Linked DNA regions of Danio rerio. The protein of the gene in region 1 purifies or fractionates together with the protein of each later gene. This does not show direct contact. Links are inferred from orthologs where the notes say so. Each region holds a gene or a part of one and is shown on either strand. Other genes may lie near its edges. The genes, in order: atxn2l and lsm12a.

The links.
Region 2: the proteins of atxn2l (region 1) and lsm12a purify together in Homo sapiens (affinity purification with mass spectrometry; 4 studies listed by BioGRID and IntAct, with this or other methods). This does not show direct contact. The link is inferred for Danio rerio from reciprocal best matches to the Homo sapiens genes ATXN2L and LSM12.

Annotation. Positions count from the first base shown.
Region 1 is NC_133178.1:14,071,095-14,074,925, forward strand, and holds part of atxn2l (ataxin-2-like protein), read left to right. Parts: intron 1-1,608; coding exon 1,609-1,715; intron 1,716-3,831. UniProt on the Homo sapiens protein: Involved in the regulation of stress granule and P-body formation.
Region 2 is NC_133178.1:21,729,535-21,734,087, forward strand, and holds the start of lsm12a (protein LSM12 homolog B), read left to right. Parts: upstream 1-1,435; 5' UTR 1,436-1,443; coding exon 1,444-1,570; intron 1,571-4,553. UniProt on the Homo sapiens protein: Nicotinic acid adenine dinucleotide phosphate (NAADP) binding protein. Confers NAADP sensitivity to the two pore channel complex (TPCs) by acting as TPC accessory protein necessary for NAADP-evoked Ca(2+) release.

The DNA.
Region 1 (3,831 bases):
CGCTGAAGATGAGAATGAAGATAACACTGACAGATTTAGTGTTAGAAACCATCTAGTTACAAATAATGACACATCTTACTAGTGATCATGTGCTGAATGTTAATCCACCATCTACACTTTACCAAGAGTAGAAGACTTCCATTGGCTTCAAGTCTGCTAAGAAAAGTCTGTGGGATGGAGTTTTCAGGTAACTGTTTGCCACATCTAGCACGAGAGCTTCTGTTTAATCCTTCATATAATCGTCAGATGCTGTCCGCCGTGCAAGGGGCAGCTATATGTCAAATTTAACACCACGTAGACTACACCATTGCAAACGGGCTCACACTGAGTAAATTAATATCGCTACTCATGAAAAAAACGGTATTGCTATTAACATGTATGCATATAATAAGGTACAGTATATGTCAAAAGCATCAGTGCAATATCAGACAGCACTTGTGAGAACAGCACAGTCATACCGTTAACAGATTCATTCAAGCAGTGTGTGCAGGGCCGGTGAGCGCTCCGTGTATCTTTTGCTCACTCAGTTCTGTTATAAAAGTTTATTTTCTTGTGATAACGGTATTTTGTTGAGACATATTTTCCTCACACTTGCATACATGTATAAATTTTTTTACTTGTTAGTTTGATTAGTGTTGATTTCAAATACAATAAATATGTTTGTATAAAACCTGTAGTAACGGTGCTCATAATTGGTGGGTGCGACTAAATTTTGGCTGATGCGCCTACATTTTTTAAGTTAGGAGCACCGGTGCTACCAAGCAAAAAGGTCAGTTTCGAGCCCTGACCAGCCAGAGCGGCAGGATAGTTACACCCGGAAGTAAGGAGATCCACATTTTTGTCATTCATTCCGAATTTTTACAACAAACAAACATTTTTTAACACATTCTTATCTGCGCATGTGTTTTACCAGCAAAAACGCTAACATAAAAACCGGTAAATTTCGCAATCTATAATCCCTAATAATAACTTCTGTACAGAAGTCCCAAAACATTTTGACACTCGATGACACTCTAATACCCGGTCAGAAAAGTCTAGTGGCTGGGAATGAGCTTTTTACAGTGTCTGCTATAATGTTAATGTTGTTTTCGTGTCTTCACATAGATGAATATGGCCACTGTGTGAATGCACAGTATTATGAGCTTATTGCCACATTAGATCATTATGACAACATTATATATGCCTTCAGTGAATTCCTGAGGATAAACACCAAAAAATAACACAACTAAATTAATTACAGCAGTCACGATCGTCAGATCTAATATGAAGCAAGAGATAGCGATGACATATGATGACGTGTGCAGGTATCCCATTTCTTAAAAGTAAATTTTGAAGCCCTTCCCCATCACACTCTGTTTTAAGGGCCATGGGGTAGGGGTACAAAACTTGGGATTGGGACTTAATATCACCCTGCCCCTGATGAGCTCTCACCTCGCTCTTGGAGACCCCGTGAAATACAGAATATTGATTGATCCTGAAAGCTTCTCTAGATTTTAAGAATCCAATACTTTTAAACCATTAACTCGATCTTTTACCAAGGCCTAATATGATTATGATTTTGTATTTTTAACTAGTAAAGTGATCTTTGTTTTTGTCTTTGTCCTCCAGCTCCGCAGTCATTCTCTCATCACTCGGGCTCCATTCATCCTCAGCCCTCCAGCACCCCTACAGGCAGCCAGCCGCCCCCTCAACACCCCGCTCCCAGCCCGGGACAGGTACATCCGTCTGCTTAATTCTGTGCAATAGCTCTCTGCCAGAATAAGAATGCAGGATAACAGAAAAGCGAAGTTTGACCTAGTTTGATCAGCATATCATGACTGCACATTTGTTAATGCAGCATGTGAGGCTATGTCAAGCCTGGTTTAGATAGTCGGGATAAGTGCAGGTTTACAGCATTTTAAAACAGACCATAGGATAGAGCACAGATTTAATGATGCAGATGTGGATAAAACCTGATGTGAGCCAGTCAGGTAATGAGTTGAAAGTTGATCTGAGAAATCCCATTAATTTGCTCCAGAGGCTTATGCGAGCCATGTAGTATGTCTGAATTCATTCAATTCTACTACCAGCAAGATTCTGAAGTGTGCATCCCATGCACGCTTTGCTATGACATGATGCCCAGCGAGAAAATTTATGAATGGGAGCAAAGCGACACAACTCACGAGGGAAGGTTACGCGCTCATGGCGGATGTAGTGCGTCCAAATTCCATTCATACTACTCGCATACTGTATCGAACGCACTTTTTTTAATGGCCGAGTAGTGCATTTAAATTTAAATGCATTACCTTCTAAGTAGTAGGCGGTTTCGGGCGCATCCTTGGTCTCAAATGTGACCCTTGGACGTTCAGGAAATGTATCATGAAGATTATTAGCCAACTTACCCATTTACATTTTAATATTTATACTTTTTTATAACCGTTTTAAGGCTGCACGATTAATCGAAAATAGATCTCGATTCGACTCTACACATTATCTGCTTTTCTACAATTATATTACAATTATATTTTCAAGGTCAGGAGAGAAGCGTAAAGTCTTCACATTGTTTTATAAACATTGCTCTGCGACATGGACTCCTCCTCCATGGCATTAAAAGTGTCACATACTGTACATATAAGGTATAATTCACCCAGAAATGTAATTTCTGCCTTAATGTAAGGACTTATTCCCAGCAGCGAAATCACACTTGAGCTGACGCACTATTTTTTTACTGTGAGGATGCATGTGTGCCCGCCAATTAGGTCTACTTTTGTAAACAAAACCTGCATAGGCTGTGAATAACATTAATAAAGTTGTAAATAACGTTTAAATTGTATAACAGAGTGATTGTTTGGGAGCCGCGTGGTAAATATTTTTTTCGTGTGTTTTTATTTTATTTTCTTATAATGACTGCAGCCATGACATGAACCACATTTGGCAGTAAAAGTGAAACCAGCACGCACATCATTTAAAAGATCATATCTCATTTTAAAGTTATGATTACAACAAAACATTTTGATATGTTATTTCTTTCATAGCTTACACAGTGTTGTGCATAAAAATAAATGTTTACTGTGTCAGTTTATCTGCTCTAATCTATATAATGTTGAATGTAATGCAAAAAGGGAATCTGATAATGACAAATTGTCACTTTAGAATTAAAAGGTTCTGTCTTTTGTCAAAATTGAGTTATTGACATTCTTATTAATGTCAAGCATATGTCTCTAACATAATAATTCAACTTCAGAATTATGAATAGATGTGATTACTGTGAATTAACAACCAGGACATATTTATAGTCTGTTCAAGTCCACTATTTAAAGTCTATACTAAATTTAGCATTTTAATCAACAATAGACCTACAGATAATGTTGTTTTACCATGGTTTTGAGAAATACAATAATAATAACCTACTCATATTAACCTTTATTTTACTTCTACAGAATCGTGATTGAAATCTACAGTTCTGGATTTTTAAGCAAAAAATATTTAATCATCTGTCTACACTTTAATCTTTCTTTTTTCTTTCAGATAGATAGATAGATAGATAGATAGATAGATAGATAGATAGATAGATAGATAGATAGATAGATAGATAGATAGATAGATAGATATTGCTAATACTTTTGAACATGCATATACTTTACGAAAAATTTGCATTGAAATTATAAGTAAATGGCCAAGAATTTAAAGTGACTAAATAACATTTTAATTTTTAGTAGCTTTGACATCAATACAAGCTGATAATTTACTAGAATTGATCTTAGCCTGGATCAGGCTAGCTGCAATGAATAAGGTTAATTGCAATGAATAAGGAGTCCAGGTTAAATTAAGCCGGGATAGCTTGAATATTAC
Region 2 (4,553 bases), about 7.7 Mb from region 1:
TGAAATAAGAGAAATAGAGATATTATAAGTATTTTATAATAAATATAGTTAATAATTATTTAATTCTCATTGCAGTTGAAGTCAGAATTATTAAACCCACTGAATTATTAGCCCCCTTTTTATTTTGTTCCCCAATTTCTGTTTAACAGAGAGAGTTTTTCAACACATTTCTAATGATTATAGTTTTAATAACTCATCTCTAATAACTGATTAATTTTATCTTTGCCATGATGACAGCAAATAATATTTGACTAGACATTTTTCAAGACTCTTCTATACAGCTCAAAATGACATTTAAATGTTTGCTTATGTTAATTAGGTTAGCTAGGCAGGTTAGGGTAATTAGGCAAGTTGTTGTATAATGATGATTTGTTCTGTAGAATATCAAAAAAATATAGCTTAAAGGGGCTAATAATTTTCACCTTAACATGTTTTTTAAAAGATTAAAAACTGCTTTTATTCTAGCCAAAATAAAACAAATAAGACTTTCTCCAGAAAAAAAATATATTATCAGACATTCTGTGAAAATTTCCTTGCTCTGTTAAACATCATGTGGGAAATATTAAAAAAAAAAAAAAAAAACTCTAAGGGGGCTAATAAGTATGATTTCAACTATATATATATATATATATATATATATATATATATATATATATATTTTTTTTTTTTTTTTTTTTTCATATAAAAATGTTTGAGATAACCTTTTAATGTATTTAATGATGCATGTGGCACGTTTTTTTCTGCATAACACTAAATGTTAAAACAAAATAGCAAACCTAAAGGCTATATATATATATATATATATATATATATATATATATATATATATATATATATATATATATATATATATAATCTCAAAGAAAATAAATAAAATAAATGAACAAGTGTTTTAAAAATATCTAAACTTTTTAAATAAAAACTATTATCGCTATTATTTGACATTTTTTGTTCAAATATTTTTTTTATAAAAATATGACAATAATATTTTATTCTAAATACATAATATAAACAGCAAATAATTACTGTATTTTACTGTAAGTGATGCAAATAAATATTTTTCTGATTTAGACAAAAAGGCATAACAAATGGCTATGATAGCAGGTTTTCCCCACTGTTTCAAATTTCAGTCATTTTAAACAGACTTTTTCTGAAAGAGAAAAAAACACCTCATTCAGGTGCCAGAAGATAACCGCTGTCTCCCATATCATTTCAAAATACTCGTCCGAATAAAGCAGGAGGCGCGGATGAATGAGTGCTGTAGTAAATATATTCACGATCCACTACTCCATAGTAAAGTGGGCGTGACCTCGCTTGCGGCGGGTTTTTTTTGCGTCACTTCATTCATTCACACGCCACGCCCACCCACTCGCGCTCCCATCCCGTGCTGACGCGGCTGCGCGTGTTTACGTGCAGCGACTGCTCCGTTTCCTGGCGGAGAAGATGGCGGCTCCTGGACCAGGAGAGTATTTCAGCGTCGGGAGCCACGTCTCCTGCCTCACCTGCCTGGGGCAGCGCTTGCAAGGAGAGGTCGTCGCTTTCGACTACCCGTCCAAGATGCTGACGTTGAGTATCCTTTTGTCGTCGCGGCTTGTCATTGAATCGTCGGGATTCACAACTGTTAGAGGCCTGGTTTGTCAAAGAGGTTTGCTGCGGGGTGAAGTGAGTCCACCAGGCATTCGCTTCCGTGTTTCGCGCATGTCGAGTCAGGTGGTGCTCTTTTGGATCTGCGATTGGTTGCCACGTTTATAACTATGGCTTTTAGTTGATGGCCTGCAAATATTAGCACACATTTGGACTCGGGCGATAGGAAATGTAGATTTACTTTGATGTTTTTCAGCAATGTTGTGTTTTAGACGTCGTGTAAGAGCTTTTGTGTAGTTCTACTGGGTCCTCATGTTCAGAAAACACTCGAAAATGTCTGACAAGAATGCTGTAATGAATATTTCCTAACTTAGATGTTTTATAGATTGTTTGATTGCTGGTCGGTTTAGCTCGTGTGTATAAATTGTGCGGTTTTAACGCTCACAGAGACCACATGGAATTGACATTATTTTTGCTGCGGGGTTTTTGATTCATTCAAATGAGTCGAATCTTTTGAATCAACTCCCTTGTCGTTTCTGTAGATTCTGTTGTCATTGGTGGTAGCAGAGTGTGTATAAGTATTATTTATATTTCATAGTACGTATGCCACTTGCTCTTATATTAGTGTAATTGTCATTTTAATGTCACATAGTCGTCTATCATGTTTGCGAGTCCCTAAAGCTTCCCACATTAACACATGCAATACATTAAACTTACTGTTTGACATATTATTTTGTTGGAAAGACAACGAGATTGTGCACTGAGGTGAACTAGAATGATTCGTTTACATAAAAGATGCTCAACTTGACTCAGTCGACCGGGTCCACGAATCGTTTGCCTGATTCATTAACGAACATACAATGATATTAAACAGCTGTGGAAATAAGGCATGTAAATCCAGAAATGTCTGCAAAATTATTAAATCTAGCCCTATTTAGAAACCTATGGTGCTTGTCTCCTAAACAGGAGGGTTTGGCGCGTTTATTTCCAGCATCAGTCTTAGTCACTAATGGAGGTGAATGAGAGTGGACAGGCTGTCAAGCACACATTGCTGCTTTTCCCCGCACGCTTCTACGCATGCGTGCTCAGGGGGCGTCAGCTAGCTTGCCTTGAACGCTAACGTCTCTCTGCCTGACGTGCAGTAGTATGTGTAATGTGCACATCACAATTAGGCATTCTAGTTTGCGTTTTACATGCATCATTCTCTATTTTTATTATGGTTTTGGTCATGACGAGTGGTTTTCTTGCTAACCTGCTAATGTGCAGCCATTCATTTACATTAAGTCACTTCATGTCATACTATTTAATTTAGTCGTTTGTACTAACTTATATAGGGAGAAAATCTTATATAAATATACGTATAATATAAGCATTATATTTAATATTGTATTGTGAGATTACTCTTTCAGATGGTTGGCCTAGTCATGTATTTTATTGGTTTACACAAGTGATGATTAACCATCTTCACAAGTCTCTATTAACTGAATAGTTTTGACCAGACTGACATCTGTATATGTGGAGCTTTCCAGAATCAGTAAGGACAAGCTTCTATTTTATTCGTTTAACATGTAAACACACTCTTTGCAGCTCAGCAATTAAACAGACAAACAAATGGTTTCTCTGTTTGAGGGATTCGTCCCAACCTTCTGCATCAGGCCGTACTCACACTATGTACAGTTGCCTCGAACCGGGCCAAAGCACGCTTGTCCCCCCTCTCGTCTCCCCCGACGGCCCGCACTCACATACATCCGGGCCTGGGCACGCTTACATCATTGCTGCTGCGCTGTTCAGTGAGCGCTCTCGCTCAGCACAGTGGAGATTTCTCTAGTTATATTGTTTAAGTAGTATGATATGCAGTGTTATGCAGTCAAATATTTCGCCAAACTCTCCTTAGGGATGCGGTGACACGCAGTCAGATATTTCGCCGAACAGATCTGCCAACAGTCATGAAGTCCTCGTGCTGCAGGAATGAGGAGGTGTGCTGAAGGTGCTCAGCTGTCGTGCATTGAGGTGTCTGTGTATTTAATAAACTATGGCAGTTTGTGTTCATTGAACAGTAAGATTGATTAAAAAATCCATGAAACAGTCCCTTAAAGTCACGTCTTGCTTTCAGTTTTGGGCTTTGGCGCATTTTGCACTCACAAACGTACCGCGCCAAAGCCCAAGTTAACCATGCTCAGGCCCACCTCTTCCAACTGGGCCAGTGCCGGCCAAGTGTTCGGATAGCATAGTGCGATTAGGCCCTCAGTTGTCCATCAATTTTTTTTGTATTGATTGGCGGCCTAAATCAAAGGTTACCATACACCAAATTTGTCCCGCTGGCCCAAGTTTGGATATCTTTCCTCTGTAATATGCATTTAGAAAATAGATAAGTTGTGTTTTTACTTTATGTTGGCTCAAATCACAGATTATATTTTACTCATAAATACAAATCTAAAAACAATTGGGTTATGTGTTTAAGTAATTCTAGACAATAGTTTTGTACAGTTAGCATGGAAAAATTCAATAGGTATTCCATCAGCGCCTCAGTTTCCTCAGCAAGTTGAGAAGTTTTAATGTTAGTACACAGACTTTAAACGTGGCATATAGATCATTAATATTGAGTGTTCCCACATATAATATTGTTTCATGGTTTGTTAACGCAACATTTATTTTATAACGCACAAATTATCGATCAGGCAAATAAATTAACTGATCACAAACAACATTCGCTGCAGATTCAATTTGACTTCTGAAAAAACAGAATATGCGATTTGAAAGATAATACACATCCCCTTCACTCAGTTTTTGAAGTGTTACTATCAGGATGCAAGTTTAAAATTCCTAGAGCCTATAAGAAAGGCTTATTAAAAAGTCGTTCATCCCAATTGCAGTTGTTGTAATAAATTGGATCACTGTTTAATGTGAATGGTGCGGTTGTTAAGAATGATCTGCAGTAATATGCATGAGGCTAATTTAAGTTTTTAATT